Arabidopsis thaliana: one gene and its partners. The main gene of each other region encodes a partner of the protein of the gene in region 3 in a complex. Each region holds a gene or a part of one and is shown on either strand. Other genes may lie near its edges.

Region 1 (7,844 bases), on a different chromosome or scaffold from region 3:
GGAAAATGCAAGTTACCGTGACATCTGTAAAGGGAGTAGCATCTCCTTCTTTTCCCATGTGAGCTGCCACTTTTCCCATGATGCACTCAATTAGCTGTCCAATTGTCATTCGAGACGGAATAGCATGTGGATTCACAATAATGTCCGGAGTGACCCCTTCAATCGTCCATGGCATATCCTCCTGCGTGTAGGTCATGCCAACAGTTCCCTTCTGACCGTGTCTACTACTAAATTTGTCTCCAATTTGAGGAATCCGCACGGATCTGACCCTCACTTTCACAAACCTCAAACCATCTGCATTTGTAGTCAATAACACCTACACGAAGTTACAAGAATTGATCAGTTTCATATTTCAATCCTGAAACTTTCTAAACCCTTAACTGCAAGGAAAAGCCAAAGTTACCTGATCCACCATTCCAGTTTCACTATGTCGCAAGCTTATACTATGATCACGTCTAGTGTATCGGGATGATTGTCCTTGAGCCTCATCTTGAGATATTGGAGTGGTTTTCCCAATGATAACATCTTCACCTGAAACTCTAGTACCCTATACCAAAAATAAAAGATTGTATGATATGCTTTCTAACATTAGTCACCTAATCATATCAGATAATAAATAATTAAGGAACAATAAATTATAAACTTACAGGAGGCGCAAGACCATCATCATCCAGTTTATCATAAGAACCATGTCGCATACCCTGCAGCAGAAACCCAAGTGTTAAACTTCACTTACAAAAAGCACCACTGAAGTATGAACCATGTGTCAATTACTTTCTTACCATTGTACTTCCTCTGTCTGGGCGCCCAAAGTCTTCTTTGACAAGCGTCCCCATTTTTTTCTCCTCATCTCTGTCAGCAAACGTGATTGCAGTATAAATAAATGGAAAGACCGAAGGCAAACGTCCAAAAGTATAGCATACTCACCTGTAAGACCGAAAGAACAAGGATCGAAAGAAACCACGATCTATTGAAGACTGATTCATGATGACAGAATCTTCTTGATTATATCCAGAATAGCAAGAAATGGCAACAATAGCATTCTGCACAAGAAGAAGAAAAAAAAACATTTGAGAGATTTGATACACGAGCAATGCTGAATTCTGAAAAACTTCTAGCAAAAATAACTTACAATTCCTGCTGGAAGTTGTCTAAAGTGAAGATGCTCCATAGCTCTTGTAGTAACCAAAGGCTTTTGTGGATAATAGAGAACATAAGCTAACGTATCCTGGTTGACAGAACAATAATAATTTCTTTAAAATATTGAGTGATGTAACAAGAGCTGACAAGAAAGACCACAAATTAAGAGCCTAGAACATACCATGCGAAATTGGTAGTTGGTGACATAAATTCCCATTGCTTGCTTCCCCATGGCAGATTGATATGTATTACGAGGTGACTAATACATCAAAAAGTAAAGGGTTAGTTAGCATGAAACTGAATTTACATAATGAAATCGCTTCTGATAGAAAAGTCATTTAGACAGAGGTACCTGATTATGGTCAGGAAATGGTATGATTGAAGCACAGACCCCCAATATCAGAGATGGGTGAATCTCACAATGTGTGTAGTTTTCAGTATAAGCCTCTTCTGGGCGGAGTCTAGCTTGAACCAGATCCTACAACAAACATAAGAGTAAGATTTCTGCAGAAATTAGTGCACCACAAACTCATTTAATCACATCTTCATTTCATTACTCACACTGATAGTCATGGAAATCATGGTCGTTTCCTCTTCTTCTGTGTCTATGTATTCTATAAAGCCCTTAGCAACCAGATGATGCCAACCATCTTCTTCTGCACTTTCCTGGGTTATGAAAACAAATATTGGTACAATGGAATTTATAACAAAAGATACTTTGATAACAGGTAAAAATTAGAATTTTACCCTTTGTTGCAGAGCATAGATATCTCTCTTCTTTATTAAGAGCTTCTGATTATCTACAATAAACAACGGACGGCTACAACGTCCATAATCAGTGTATATCCGGAGCTCTTTAAGACGGATATCTCTAACTACACCAACTTCAGTGTTGACATCAACCTGCAAGAGGAAAAAGTAATATGTCACTTCTGCATAAAGTTGCAATATTTTCACTAGCATATATGGAAACGTGAAAGAAACTGCATGCTTACCCTTCGTCTCAAACGTCTCAACGTTTTCACCAACATGTCAGGATCTCTATGAACTCCAACCCACATTCCATTGACAAAGATTTTTGTGGCTTGGGGTATAACAGATGGAGATATTTCCTATATTCAAGTTAAGACCTTCAGGAAACCACAAGAACCAAGGAGGCAGATGTTGGGTAAGAAATTGAATGTGAAATGCTACAGACCTCAAAATTCTCAGTACCCCATTCTTCCAAAAATTCCAATATAGGATAAGCAGCTGACCCAACTGTTATGTAGACCATGAGAGCCAAGTTTTTCACTAGACCACAAGCCTGGTACAGCAAAGCCACAATGAGCAATGGAACTATAAAATCCGAAACACCCTTATTTTATAAATATAACAATTTTACCTGTCCTTCAGGTGTTTCAGCAGGGCACATCATTCCCCACTGTGAGTTGTGCAGTTGTCTTGGTTTTGCCAATTTTCCTGGCATATCAGACTTGATTAGATTCAAGTGGGATAAACAAAAGTACAAGCCAATCTAAATTGCAAGGATGTGGATAATAAAGAGAACCATGACTAAAATACACCAACTGTACGAACAGTTACACAGAGACAAAATAGAAGTGCAGGAAAAGAACGAGGCTTTACCTTCACGTCCTATTGGAGAATTGAGACGCCTCAGATGTGACAAAGTCGAAGCATATGTCAACCGGTTAAGAACCTGTTGTTAGTTAAGTCTTTAGAGCCATATAAATCATGCAATGAATTATAATAGGCCAAAACAGTAAACCCGATAACATACATCAAGAAATTATTGGAACTCAAAAACATAATTAACATAGAATTATCCTAACCTGAGAGACTCCAGCTCTTGTGCCAGCAGCGTTTGCCTGGCCCCAGTTCCCAGTAGCAAGAGAATATTTCAGGCCAGAGGTAATTGTTTTAGCCTTAATGGCAAATTGAAGATTGACTTCTTTGCCATTGTCAACGCACTGTCAAAGAAACATGAATCAGACTTCCAAACACAGAATAACAACTTAATACTAAAGTCTTTGGCTCGAGAAAGAGTAACTATGTAAGATACCTTTTGAACATAAGATCTCACATCCCTTGTTAACTTTCGGAAAAGCTGCATGTAGAGAAGATGTTAGGTCAGTAAGAGATAAAAAAAACACTGATACTCAACAATCCCCAAGAGTGTATAATTGTGTGCCGGGAACAAACCATTCTAAATAGCCCTCCAAGTAAAGGACCAGCAAGATCCAGCCTTTTGTTACCATAATGATCCCTATCATCTTCTGGCCTTCGGCCAAGTGCACAAAGCAGCAGCCGGTGTATGATATACCTACGGATCATAGCATAATATGAGCAACACAGAAACATGTTAAGTCTATAAACATTACAAGTGAGTTAAATACCTACCCAAAATAGTAAGCTTTCTTTGTCTCGCAATGCTCCCCAATTCCTACATGAGGAAGCATTTCTTTCTGAAGGATATCTCTAGCATACCTGCAATGATAATATTGCAATCGCAAACCTCCAGTGTGAACATCTCAATAGTTGACATCTTAGATCATAATGTCCAACTTAATTGGTTTAGATTATCACATACTTTATCCTTTTTTCCTTGGTTACACCAACAGTTGCACCACGTTTTCCAATATAGTCAAGTGCAACCTGAAGTAATATGAAAGTTATCAAGTGATTGCAAGATCAATTCCTCAAGCATAATAAAATGTCATTAACCAAGTGAAAAAAAAGTGGATACCAGCTGATTTTGAATAACGAAAGCTTCTTCCAAGGAAGGCCTGAGCAACTCCATCATCTGGGTATCGGCAAAATCATAGCAGATGTGTTCCAATATGTCCTTATCGGCAACAAATCCCAGTGCACGAAATACTATGATAATAGGAATTTCTGTTCTGATGTATGGAAGAGTACATCGAATATACTGTCCAGATGAACCCTGCATCCATTTGCAACATAGAATGTAATTTATTTACCATTATCTAGAATTTAAAGAATAAATTTCGAGGAAGGATATAGTAGAGTTAAGACTAATTAGCTTTCTCTTACCCCTTTTGCACTAGCACGAGCAAGCATACGCACAAACATTGTGCTTGGAGGCCTATTTTGGTTTTCAGCCATAGAACGGACTTCACCAACATAAGCATACTTATTTGGCTGCCTTTTCTTGAACACATAAACATGATTCGTACTCATCTTCTCCTGAGCAATCAGAACCTTTTCACTGCCATTAATAATGAAGTATCCACCCTGATCATAAGGACATTCTCCAAGCTCTGTCAGGTCTTTCTCCGAGTTCTGAAACAAGGTACAGTAACTAGACCGGAGCATGATGGGAACCTAGCAAATAATCAAACAAGAAGAAAACATTTCTACTATCAGAACAGTAGAGTACATGGAAACACCTAAATAAATGTGACACAATGAACTGAGTTCGGACACCTTTCCAATGAAAACTTTAGTAAAATCCTGTGTCTCCGTAACTTCTTCACCATCATGCCCTTTCTTAATAACTCTCTTAGTAACATCGACATACAAAGGCGCAGAGTATGTGAGATTTCTCAACCTTGCAGCCTTAGGGAACAGGGTGGCAGTCTCTCCATCAGACTCTGTCATCATAGGTTTACTCAGATAAATCTGTCCAAAGCTAATCTTGTAGATTGTCTGCAGGAAAACAGCTATATCAGACATACAGAAAAACAGATAGCAAAACAGCTATATCTCAGCTCACACAAAGTCAAAAATGATTTGAGCTTCAACCGATAATAAAGACCACTGAAAGGACACTTTGAAAAAAGCGAAGAGCTCAAGCATTAAATGGAAAGATAATCTCGGAAAATCAATGAGCTTAGCTACTCGACAAAGGCAGACCCTAATTGCAACAAAACTTAAAAACTGATTTAAGCTTTAACCAATATTCAAAACCACTGAAAATACACCTCAAAAAAGCGAAGAGCTCAAGCATCGAATACAAAGATAATCATGGGAAATCATTGAGATAAGCTTCTCAGATAAGGGCTAACAATAGACTGTCTGCAGGAAAACAGACCAAAGGGACAGCAAAAAAAGATACCAAACTCATTTTTATAGTGCCAAAACTGATTTGAGTTTCAACCAATACTATAAATCCTCCTCGAAAGAGATGAGCTCAAGCATTAACTCAAAGATAATCTCGGGACATTAATAAGATTACCAGCTCAAAGTCAATATCCGGACATCAATAGTCAAAATCATTTTTTGACTCTTGAACAGCATATAGCTCAAGCATTGAATAACAAGACAATCTCGGGACATCAATAAGATTCAGGTAAACCCTAATCGCACCCAAACGGTAGAAGCTCAAATCGAAACACTTTAAAACCGCCACAAACACGATAAACCCGCACATAATTTCGAATTCCCATAGAAACCCTAGAAAAAAACAAAAACGAGGAAACAACCTCCGCAAAATCGGACTGATGGCCAGGATTATGCTGAGATTCAGGTCGGATCTCGATATCAGCAGACTCATCAACGATTTCTTGCATAGTATTTTGAATAAACTCATCAAACGAATCCAGCTGTTGACGAACGAGACCTTTCTCTTCGAAATAAGCAGATATAACAGCCCACGCGTCCTCCTGGGTAATCTCCTCATCGTCATCGTCTTCTACATATTGAGGTTCAGGTTCGTATTCGTTGTACTCCATTTATTCTCACTCTCTGAAGATTAGAGCACAGCAAACTTCACTACTCGAGCTCTCGGAGACAAAGAGAGAGACAGGACGCAGAGAATGAGACGGCTTTGTGAGATTGTGAGTTTATAAAGGCTCGAGAGAGAGAAGTCGGCTTAAGTTTATGGAAATAACCGGTTTGTATCAATAACCGGTTTGATTAAATGGGATTATAAAAAGGATCGGTTTGGTTGTTAGAGAGCTTGGATTGTTAAATGACGGAAACACCCTTACTATATAAAGAAAAGTCTCCGGCTACATTTTTGTGGCGTCAGCGATATTTTCGGAAGAAGAGAGAGAGAGACGGAGAGTGAAGGCGGAGGAAGGGAGAGAGAGATGATACCGCAGCAATGGACGCCGCCGTGTGGGAGCAAATGCACGAATAAGTACTCAGCATTTACGCAGCTTCCATGTATGTAATATCTGGACTCTTAATTTGTGTGAATCGGATTCGTTTTTGAGTTTTGATGTTCGTGGTCCGTTGTTTTTTGATGGTTTAGTTTTCGATGATGATGATAAGAATCTGTTGTTGGAGCTGATAGATTGGGTTCTGATTTGGATTGGTGATTGATTTCTTGATTCAAAAGTCAATTTAGTCTTCCGAGTGTTTCTTCTTTTTGTTGTTGTTTGGAATTGAAATTGGGATCTGTAAATTGGATTGTTGATTGATTTCTTGATTCATAAACCCTAATTATTTGTTGGTGCACTCTACTTCATTACGATTATACTAAACATTTTGGTCAAGAATCGCTTCTTTGGTTAGATTGGTCCAGAGACAACTTATAGTTGTAGTTGCAAGTATTTAAGAACATCCATCTTGACTCGTAATTGAATAATGTAGATTGAAGAATCGGCAACATTTATATTGATTACAAGTAAGGGAGATTATGCAGAGTTCTTAGAGCTTTTCTATCATGTAATTAAGAAAATGGTTAAATTAGTAGGAGAAAGTGGAAGATAATAAGTTGTAGTTTATGAACTGAAAGAAATTTAAAGGGAGAGAGTCAAAGTAACGGTATCAAAGATGCTTCTGTATCCATGTTGCTTCTATGAACTATTGACATATATGTATGCTTAAGCTAGTTAAAGGGCTTGGTTTGGCTGTTTCTGTCTTTCTGATGAAAGCTTTTCATTCTCTGATCTCTGAATTTCATTCATGGGCACAAAAGCTAGCTGAACTTATGCTTGGTATGACATTTTTTCCATAGCAATCTGGGTTTTTTTTCAGCTTTAGCATCAGTGTTTATCCTCCATGTTGTTGTATGACATTTTTTCCATAGCACTAATGTAATTCCTGAATCTGTGTAGGGAGAGTATTCTGCAAAAAGGGATGTGATGCCGATAGTGACTCATGGGAAGATTGTAAGCATTTCTTTTTAATTCTTTGTAATCTGTAACGAAACTGTTGATGAAATGATGAGCGGTTAGATTTGTCCTCACTATGGAACATCATAAAAACCAAGCTTGTCTCCTACATAACGAAATTACATGTTCATGAAGAGTATCTTCTGCTTTTCAGGTTTAAGTTTCCAAGTTAATGAATTGGTGTAATAGTAGTGTACTCTCTATAGGTGTAGGAGACTGCAGTGAAATTTGCTACAAAGATCCTGTGCTAAAAGACAGACCATGGACTGCTGTTATAGATCGTTCTCCTGGAGATGCCAAATACTCTGAGGTAATTCACACAATGAATCTTTTTCTTCAAAAAAGAGAAATGGACTGAACCGTATCTAATTGTTGTACATGTAACTCTGTTTTTAAATTCAGGAATGCTTTCACGCATGTGTAGCAGGCTGTGGTTACAAGGTTTGTTTCCTTGCTTCAACCTCAATAATTTGATGCGTTTGGAAATACACTCTACTTCTCTGAACCCGTGTGGCTGTATTTTTTTGTCATCATGCAGTTTGATGTTGAAGCTGAGATAGTCAATAAGGTGAAACCAAAGAGACCTCCACCACCACCGCCAAAGCCACAACCACCACCACC
Region 2 (4,654 bases), on a different chromosome or scaffold from region 3:
TTTTTTTTTACAAAGTTGTAAAAAATGAAACTGTAAAACGACATTAGGTAAAAGTACCTCAATTTGTGAATACTGTGAAATTTTTCTATCTCCACAAAAGCACAAACTTTAATGTGCCGATCCCATAATTGATCCAACTAAATAGATATACTTACTTTCTTACGAAAATGTGGTGGCCTATAATTTTAAAAAATAAAATTGTGGCTGGACCTATTTGACCACTGGACTTTCGACTCACCACTCAGCAATGCGTGAAAATGTGGCATCCCCTCTCATGGCGTAAGGACTAGCGATACGAGCGGTCATCACTGCCACTTTGGAAGCAGAATTGAGAGATTTACTGATTGAATCTGATTGTTAATAATTAGTCCAAGTAATCAATGCCGGAATTCTCTTATCTAAGATCCATGACATCATTTCGGACCTATGAATTAGCTCGAAAACTTTTGAGTTTTTGTCTCTTGTTTCATTCCAAGGGAAGCTACTCACCATAACTTATTGTGTGATCGAAGTTCAAGAACTTAAGAGCTTTAAATTGGGTATCCACTATGCAAAAGTCTTTCATTCCATTTCAGTTAATGGTACGAATTTTAAGATTAAACTACATACTTGTTCCATTTTAATCATACTTGTTCAATGTATTGAATTTAATCCTTGCGTTTATTTTCGTTACGAGCGAGTCTAACAACTAACAACAACCAAACTTAACAAGATTCAGGAACAGAGGGATCAGAGGTCCAGAACAAATAGAAGACTGCCACTTCACATGTTATCAAACAAGACAGTGCCACTACGGTTAATATCAGTCTGCTCCAGAAGAAACTCAAAACCTGAAACAAACAGGTATAACAAAGAGCTCGAATTAATCACTTGAGTTCATCCTCCACGCATATGGGCACCGAGTTCACCAAACTGATCATCCGCTTCTACGGTGTCATCTGAGAGACGGACTGCATCAAGCTTCTGCTTCAGAAGATCAATGGCATTTAGTACCAGTTGGGAAGCCTTCACTGCACCTGTGGACTCAACAGTGAATATAAAACTGTCATCTTTCGGACTGATCTCAATGAGTCCCGGTTTCCCCATTGCTTCAGCTTTCTTGATCACTTCTTCATCGTAAGTGTATGCTTCAGGATCAACCACTACAACCTAAGAAGCAAAGTATAAAAATTACAGTTGTGATGATTCAAGCAACAGACTTCAAAAGAAATGGCATACTAAATTCCAACGATAAACTACTGTAACTGTTATAATGATATACAATGTTCTCTAGCGGGTCAAAGGAAAATTGTCAGTTGTGGTGAGTCCTAGTAAACACTGAACCATTAACATGAAATCTCCAAGAAAATTCAACTGGTACAGAGGTACTACAAGTACTATATCTTCTCCTTTCTTTATTCCCTTTACCATTCGAATAATTTGAAATCTCTAACATGAAATCACAAACAAAAGTTCAACTGGCACAGAGATACTCCAAGTGATTCATATAATTTGCAGTGATTAGATATAGAAAGATGTTTCAGTTTGGTACCAGAAGTTTAGCAGTTATTTGATTCATTCCGATGACTGGCGTAATTCTCCTAAAGAGCTAAGTAGTGCTATCTAACAGAAAGAGAAGCACAGAAAAGAGCAAATGCACTAACCACATCACATATATATATTTCAAGGCATGGCAGTCTATAAAGTAGTTCAATCATATTTAAGTCTCAAAGCTATAAACTTGTATAGCTGCATTCTTCCAAAACGTGAAAACTAACCTGTCTGGTGACTGGATCCATGCCAAACACTTTGGTAGGACTGCTCTCAATCAAGTCGATCTTTTCCTCGTCTGACAAAGTATCCATCATATCTTCATTAATAATTATGTCAGGCTCATACATAAACGTAACAGTAGCTGCAGGAGACCATTTCGCATGATCTTTCCCAATCCCTTTCCTCGCTATCGCTCTAAGCTTCAACTCTTGTCCCCGACGCAGTTTCACAATGATAATTCCCCTGAAACCCGAAACCAAAAACAGAGTCTTTAACCCACACAACCACCATAATTAAACATCAAACAATCACGAACAAGAAGAGTCATGCAAAGGGCCATCGAAAGGAAGTATTTTTCATCCTCGGAATGCTAAAAGATGCAAATTTTGTTTCACCATTGCTTAATCTCTAACGTTTCACAACTCCAATCGATTCATAATGACAAAAGAAACACCACATTTCTGCATTTAACAATCTAATGATGAAAAGGGACTTACTTGTGCTCGCTTGAATCAGATACAGACGAGTCAATAGTGAAATCCACAGGAGTAACAGTAGGATCAGCACTGTACAAATCCCTACTAGTAACATCTAGGGTTTGATCAGTAACACACTTAGAACTAAGCCGAAACTCAACAGAGCAAAACTCGCATTGTCCATCTCCATCACAAGCATCACAATCTCGAGAGAAACGCATGCTCATAGCACGTTCGCTAGTGAGAGGAATGAGACCTAATCGATGAGCAATGAACTCGTCGTTGAGTACAGATGAATTAACCTCGATTTCGACTAGATCTATTGCGACGGTAGGGACTTCGGAGATCATTACGCGACGGAGAGCGTTGGCCATAGAAACGTCGGTTTCACGAAGCTCGAACTTGGCGTAATCATCTTTAAGCTCACGGATCTTGATCTTTGGGAATCTTTGGTATGTGGCACCGTCCATTTCAAAAGCTAATCGGTGGTTTCTGACGACTCTCTGGACCTTTATTAGGGTTTTAGGGATAATGAATTTTCAATTTCTTCGCCGGAGAAGGAGATAGGAGAAGAAATCAGAATAAAGCAAAAGTGAGAAAGATATAAATATTAGAGTAATGTTTAAAGTTGGGCCTATATGGGCCTTTTTAATTCTTTTGGCGAAAAGTAATGTCACCAAATTTCAAACAGGCCCATATAAGCCCAACTCAAATGTTTTTTTTTATACCTTTTCCTTTTTCTTTTTTCTTTTTTTTTTTGTCAAACGTATACCTCTTTATTTAAGTTCTTTTTTCATAGATTCTTTTATCGTACTCAACAACTCTACGAGATCTCATAGTATTTAGTGATATTATAGTCATATATTTGGGAGGAAAACACCATGTATCAAAAAATTTGAAATGATCTCATAGTACCATTAACCATTACAACCCAACTAATTTTACTCATCAAACCAATTGACTCATCAACTCATTTGACCCATCAACTCATTTGAGTCAAAATTTTGAACTCATTAGAGTTCATGGGTTGAGTTGAATTGAGTTGACCCATAAATTTTGACCCATTTTGACACCCATAATCAAAATGTTAACAAGTTTAGTTAAGTTTCTTTAACAATATTAAGGACAAGATGTTAACAAATATTTTAACATGTGAGTGTTAAAGGATTTCATCATTCTTTAATCAACAAGCACTGCCTAATGCATTATTTAGATCATCACAAGGACCATCGTTATAAACTCTTACAATGCTTATCCCTTTGATTACTCTAAAGAAAATGGAGAAATGTGTAATTTGTCAAACATCCAATGGTAAGAATACATTAGACACCATTTATACATTTATCTAAACCAAAAATACTCAATTTTATTTTAAGCTACTAGACAAGAACATCCAAAGTTTATTATTATCTCTCACAAATGATTAATTTACTCTTTGTCTACGAAAATAGAATGCAAAAATTCCCATTTTATAAAAGAAGAAAATGGTTCGGCCAAAACAATACGACAAAAATAAAATAAAAAAAATTGGGTAATGTTTGTACAATTAAACAAGTTATATCATTTTTCCTACTTCCAAGAAAATGAGAGTGCAACTAATAATATGTGTCTGATTAATTTTCTTCATATGTATAGTGAAATCTATATAAAATTATATATATATACAAAAAAAAATTCATAGTTTACAAAGAAAGCAATAAAAACAATGTAAGTGTTTATTTATTATTTTAAAAATTGGGTATTGTTTAGGCTATGGTTAAAGGGTTAAGAATACAAATTAGGAGTATTTGAGTATTTGGTTAGTTAAAAACTCTTTTAGTTTTGAAGGAGATCATCGAGATACTGTGGCGAATTTGGGAAATCGAGGCATTGTATTTAGAAATTTTAGAACATCAAGATTTAGGGAATGCAAGATCTATGGAATTTGTAACACTTAGGCAAGATTTAAAAATCTAAGAATGTAGCAGATCTGGATTCTAGGGAGATCTAGGAGAAGGTTTGTGATAGAACTGATGCTTGGAAAATTCTAATTGAAGAAGACATTGTAGCAAAACTAAGATAGTTATTTATATATCTACAAATCTAATATATTTTGATGCTATATTTGCCAGATGTCGCACATGTACTTAAAGCATCAACCCAAAGTTGGCTTAATGCTGCTGAGTGGACAACGCTTTATGACAACAACCATTTACTGTTCCTTGAAACAAGCTCTTTCACTATACTTATTAAGGAAGACGGACTCTATACAGTTGACAACAACTTCATGCAGGACAGGAATACCTGGAGAGTAATAAGTACCCACTCCACTTGCAGAAATCCAAACGTTGTCTACGATGTTAAGATTGGAAGAGGACTCTACAGATTTTATGATGATTGGGATTGTAACAACTGTTTATATATATATATATATATATATGAATATA
Region 3 (4,179 bases):
TAAATTGTTCTGTATCCATACACACATATACTTGGGAAATCTTCGGTTTCATGGATTCTTCACAACTCGAAGCCTCTTTAAAAACAGATTCTTTGCTTAGTTGTTGTCGTCGCTGCAAATTATTTGACAAGTGGAGAGTTTTTGCAGAGCTAAAAAGCGAATACAAGTTGACCAAAAAAGGTCAAATCCCTGGTTCCATATGAAACTGTCAAACTTTGGACGTGCATGGATACAAAAGCTTCTGTCAGTTTACTTTCCTGGATTTAGGGTTTTAAAACCAGCTGTGAGGTTTGCTGCAATGTGGCAATGTCACTGCAATGTGTTGTATAGAGTCTTAAGTCCTCTGTTTACTTTAAAACCCGTATTTTAACTTGCTGCTATTCACAACAAGAAAAATGAAGTCTTGTCTAGCTACTTTTGCTCTCGCAGTGTTAGTAACACAAGGAAGCATTTTTAGTTTGTGTTTGGCCTCCTCTGCTTCTACAAACTCTGTTCCTAATTGGTTTCATCATTGGCCGCCGTTTAAATGGGGACCAAAATTTCCATATTCTCCACCTAAACCGCCGCCAATCGAGAAATATCCTCCACCGGTGCAGTATCCACCACCGATCAAGAAGTATCCACCGCCACCATACGAGCATCCACCGGTGAAGTATCCACCACCGATCAAGACTTACCCTCATCCGCCGGTGAAGTATCCTCCACCAGAACAGTATCCACCGCCGATTAAGAAGTATCCTCCACCAGAACAGTATCCACCGCCGATTAAGAAGTATCCTCCACCAGAACAGTATTCACCGCCTTTCAAGAAGTATCCTCCGCCAGAACAGTATCCACCACCGATCAAGAAGTATCCTCCGCCAGAACATTATCCACCGCCGATAAAAAAGTATCCTCCGCAAGAACAGTATCCACCACCGATTAAAAAGTATCCTCCGCCAGAAAAGTATCCACCCCCGATCAAGAAGTATCCTCCGCCAGAACAGTATCCACCGCCGATCAAGAAGTATCCTCCGCCAATTAAGAAGTATCCTCCGCCAGAAGAGTATCCACCACCGATCAAGACTTATCCTCATCCCCCTGTGAAGTATCCACCGCCTCCGTACAAGACTTACCCTCATCCGCCGATCAAAACTTATCCTCCTCCGAAAGAATGTCCTCCTCCGCCTGAACATTACCCTTGGCCTCCGAAAAAGAAATATCCTCCACCGGTTGAGTATCCGTCGCCGCCATATAAGAAATATCCTCCGGCTGATCCATAGTAACTCAAAACCAAACAAGGACGTGTTTGTCTATAAGTATATGTCTAGTTAAAAAACTGTTCTGTTCTTTCTGTTATGTTCTTTCTTTTTCTTATGACTTTCTGTTATGATGCATCAAATAAAGAATAAACTGTTCTGTTTTGAATTTGTTAAATAGGAGAGTGCAAGCTCAAGAACAAGCTGTTTCATAAATAAATAAAATATATTTTCTAAAATCAAGTAAAGTAAAAAAAAAATAGATATTGTACTAAATGAATAAACTTGATTCAACAAAGTTTTGTACGTTGTTATAATTTCACTTAAATAATTTAGTGCGTCAAAAAAACAAAATTAAAACGTAATTGGTCAAGGAAAAAAAAACAAGTCTCAAGGGAAAAGGAAAACAAAAAAAAAGGAAAATTTAATAAGCAATCTGGACCGTTCATACTTTTTAGATCTGACGGCTGACAGAGAACTACCATTGGGCATCTTTTATAAACAGAGAGATTTGTTTGATTCCGGTCGAACTCAAAACATAATTTGCTCTCAATAAGACATTAACAAAGTCCCAGAGGCAGAGAGAGAGAATCAGAGAGAGAGAAGTCGAGATGTTTTTCCACATAGTATTGGAGCGGAACATGCAGTTGCATCCTCGTTTCTTTGGTCGTAACCTAAAAGAAAACCTCGTATCTAAGCTCATGAAAGATGTCGAAGGCACTTGCAGGTTTTCTTTCTCTATTCACTTCTAGTAGAAAATCACCAATTTCGGATGCTTTAATCGCAAACCCTTTTCCTCAATTCTCAATTCGGATTCGTTTTCCTTAAGACAACTTCGAAAAAGTTGCATATTTTTTCGAACCCTAATCTCCGTCTAGTTCAATTTGTTAGGTTTTAGGGATTAGAGTGGATTAAATTCGAATAAAGATCGTTCTTTTAACTAAATTGTAGTCTTTCTCTGCTGCTTGTGACTAAAGTCTGATTTTTAGCAGAATTTTTTTCCAAAGGGATTTGCTTTGAAGCCTTTAGCTTTCTTAGGATTAAGATATGACTTCATCCAGCTCACTTAGATGCCTGATTGCAAATCATTCAGATCCAGTATCTTGTTTTGTATTTGATACTCAAGTCTAAAACTTTGTTCTTTAGTATAGTTCGCTTAATCCATTGCTTGTGACAGAGATTTGTATTTTGAGGCCTCTAGCTTTTTGTATTTGCTTTAGGTTTAAGATGTGAAGTTTCATCATTGCAATGTCATATTGATACTTATCAATATTTGCTCTTTTCGTTTTGTGGTATGGACAGTGGCCGACATGGATTTGTAGTGGCGATAACTGGAATAGATACAATAGGAAAGGGTTTGATCAGAGATGGGACTGGTTTTGTCACCTTTCCAGTTAAATACCAATGCGTCGTTTTCAGACCTTTCAAAGGCGAGATTTTGGAAGCTGTTGTCACTTTGGTCAATAAGGTAATGTATCTATATAGTCTTATTTTTTTAGTCAAATGTCTTTAGTGACAAATCAACCTTATGGATTTTCCTAATATTATCACAGATGGGATTCTTCGCTGAAGCTGGCCCTGTTCAGATTTTTGTGTCTAAGCATGTAAGCTTATGATCTTCCATCATGAATTTGACCTCGAGTTCATTTTTGATTCTAGGTGTTATGTACTTACTCTTGTTCTCCTCTCTTTTATCACCACAGTTGATTCCAGATGATATGGAGTTTCAAGCTGGAGACATGCCTAACTATACCACATCAGATGGATCAGTGTGTTTCTTTCTCTAGTTCTTATTTCCCAACAGTATTATATGTGTTTCATCTATCTTCAAGGAACTCATTTTTCCAATGCTTCTCTTGCAGGTTAAGATCCAGAAGGAGTGTGAAGTGAGACTAAAGATTATTGGAACAAGAGTTGATGCCACTGCGATTGTATGCACCATCTCCTCCATAACTCTAGTCACAATCCAACTTATAGTTTTTAGATTATTCTTATCAATTTACACATTTGTTTTTTGATTTTGCAGTTTTGTGTGGGTACCATCAAAGACGATTTTTTGGGAGTCATAAACGACCCTGCAGCGGCATAAAAAGTTTCAAGCAGATTTCAATTTTGGTCTTCTTTCTTTCACAGAGAATGCTGTCTTGTGATAAAGTTGTATTATAGTTGAAGTTTTGGATCTATTTAATCCGAAAGATTGGAACCACGCTTGTTGGATTTAACTTATATGCAAGTTTAGTGAACTTCGTATTTGATCAAAACTGTTGTCATTTTGAGAACAATATAGTACCGAGTAGTGGATCAAATTCTACATGTCTCAATGAAAATTGTATAATTTGAAATTGAATGGATGTTTCATTGATTGTTAGTTATATTGTTTCATATGTTGTGGAAGATATTGAAACTCTTGTTTCATACGTTGTGGTTCTGTTTATCAAATATTTGATAAATCTAAGAAAACATGTTAAAAGTCATCAATTGCTTCTCTCATTCATCAACTTTCCTTATAGGATTTGGTTTTTGGTAAGACCTCTTTGACTATCGAGTAAAATATCTAATTGTATGATATATTGACCAAAATGTACTAATTAAATTCATTGAAAGTTTTCTGAATTTTAACACATTCAATGAATTTGAAAACGCTTTTTTCAAATAAATTTCCATATAGTTTCATAACAATGATGAGTATGCAATCTATTCAATAACACATTCGTTCTCTCAGAGTCACAATCCCAACTTTGCTCTTTCTTTTAGAGTTTCACAAAATGGCTAAGCTCTCTACACCTCTCTACTTAATTTGTTTAGCATTCATCTTCACTAGAGATGTGTCTGCAAATGATTATAGACAGGCAAGTTCAAGTTCCTACTCTGTTTTGTGAGATTCCCATATGAACAACACATCTAATAATACCTCTCTCTCTCTCTATCTCTGATTTACATA

What was found. The genes of interacting proteins can lie anywhere in the genome.
Region 1: NRPB7 (region 3) and NRPB2 share a complex: the UniProt entries of both Arabidopsis thaliana proteins name them as parts of the RNA polymerase II complex.
Region 2: NRPB7 (region 3) and NRPB3 share a complex: the UniProt entries of both Arabidopsis thaliana proteins name them as parts of the RNA polymerase II complex.

Annotation. Positions count from the first base shown.
Region 1 is NC_003075.7:11,536,367-11,544,210, forward strand, and holds the start of NRPB2 (DNA-directed RNA polymerase family protein), read right to left. Parts: upstream 6,040-7,844; 5' UTR 5,835-6,039; coding exon 5,586-5,834; intron 4,810-5,585; coding exon 4,588-4,809; intron 4,486-4,587; coding exon 4,195-4,485; intron 4,085-4,194; coding exon 3,887-4,084; intron 3,796-3,886; coding exon 3,731-3,795; intron 3,628-3,730; coding exon 3,541-3,627; intron 3,464-3,540; coding exon 3,343-3,463; intron 3,248-3,342; coding exon 3,203-3,247; intron 3,111-3,202; coding exon 2,973-3,110; intron 2,840-2,972; coding exon 2,767-2,839; intron 2,602-2,766; coding exon 2,525-2,601; intron 2,447-2,524; coding exon 2,339-2,446; intron 2,253-2,338; coding exon 2,136-2,252; intron 2,044-2,135; coding exon 1,888-2,043; intron 1,807-1,887; coding exon 1,702-1,806; intron 1,619-1,701; coding exon 1,493-1,618; intron 1,400-1,492; coding exon 1,322-1,399; intron 1,229-1,321; coding exon 1,133-1,228; intron 1,044-1,132; coding exon 928-1,043; intron 853-927; and 8 more. Other genes in the region: AT4G21720 (defensin-like protein), read left to right, coding at 6,195-6,270, 7,167-7,220, 7,430-7,533, 7,626-7,664, 7,762-7,844. UniProt on the Arabidopsis thaliana protein: DNA-dependent RNA polymerase catalyzes the transcription of DNA into RNA using the four ribonucleoside triphosphates as substrates. Second largest component of RNA polymerase II which synthesizes mRNA precursors and many functional non-coding RNAs.
Region 2 is NC_003071.7:6,731,705-6,736,358, reverse strand, and holds NRPB3 (DNA-directed RNA polymerase family protein), read right to left. Parts: upstream 2,826-4,654; 5' UTR 2,699-2,825; coding exon 2,250-2,698; intron 1,996-2,249; coding exon 1,758-1,995; coding exon of another isoform or gene 1,713-1,757; exon of another isoform or gene 1,603-1,712; coding exon of another isoform or gene 1,555-1,602; exon of another isoform or gene 1,150-1,554; coding exon 877-1,149; 3' UTR 540-876; downstream 1-539. UniProt on the Arabidopsis thaliana protein: DNA-dependent RNA polymerase catalyzes the transcription of DNA into RNA using the four ribonucleoside triphosphates as substrates. Component of RNA polymerase II which synthesizes mRNA precursors and many functional non-coding RNAs.
Region 3 is NC_003076.8:23,881,650-23,885,828, forward strand, and holds NRPB7 (DNA-directed RNA polymerase II), read left to right. Parts: upstream 1-1,706; 5' UTR 1,707-1,849; coding exon 1,850-1,965; intron 1,966-2,540; coding exon 2,541-2,706; intron 2,707-2,791; coding exon 2,792-2,842; intron 2,843-2,941; coding exon 2,942-3,007; intron 3,008-3,100; coding exon 3,101-3,169; intron 3,170-3,264; coding exon 3,265-3,327; 3' UTR 3,328-3,656; downstream 3,657-4,179. Other genes in the region: AT5G59170 (Proline-rich extensin-like family protein), read left to right, coding at 396-1,262. UniProt on the Arabidopsis thaliana protein: DNA-dependent RNA polymerase catalyzes the transcription of DNA into RNA using the four ribonucleoside triphosphates as substrates. Component of RNA polymerase II which synthesizes mRNA precursors and many functional non-coding RNAs.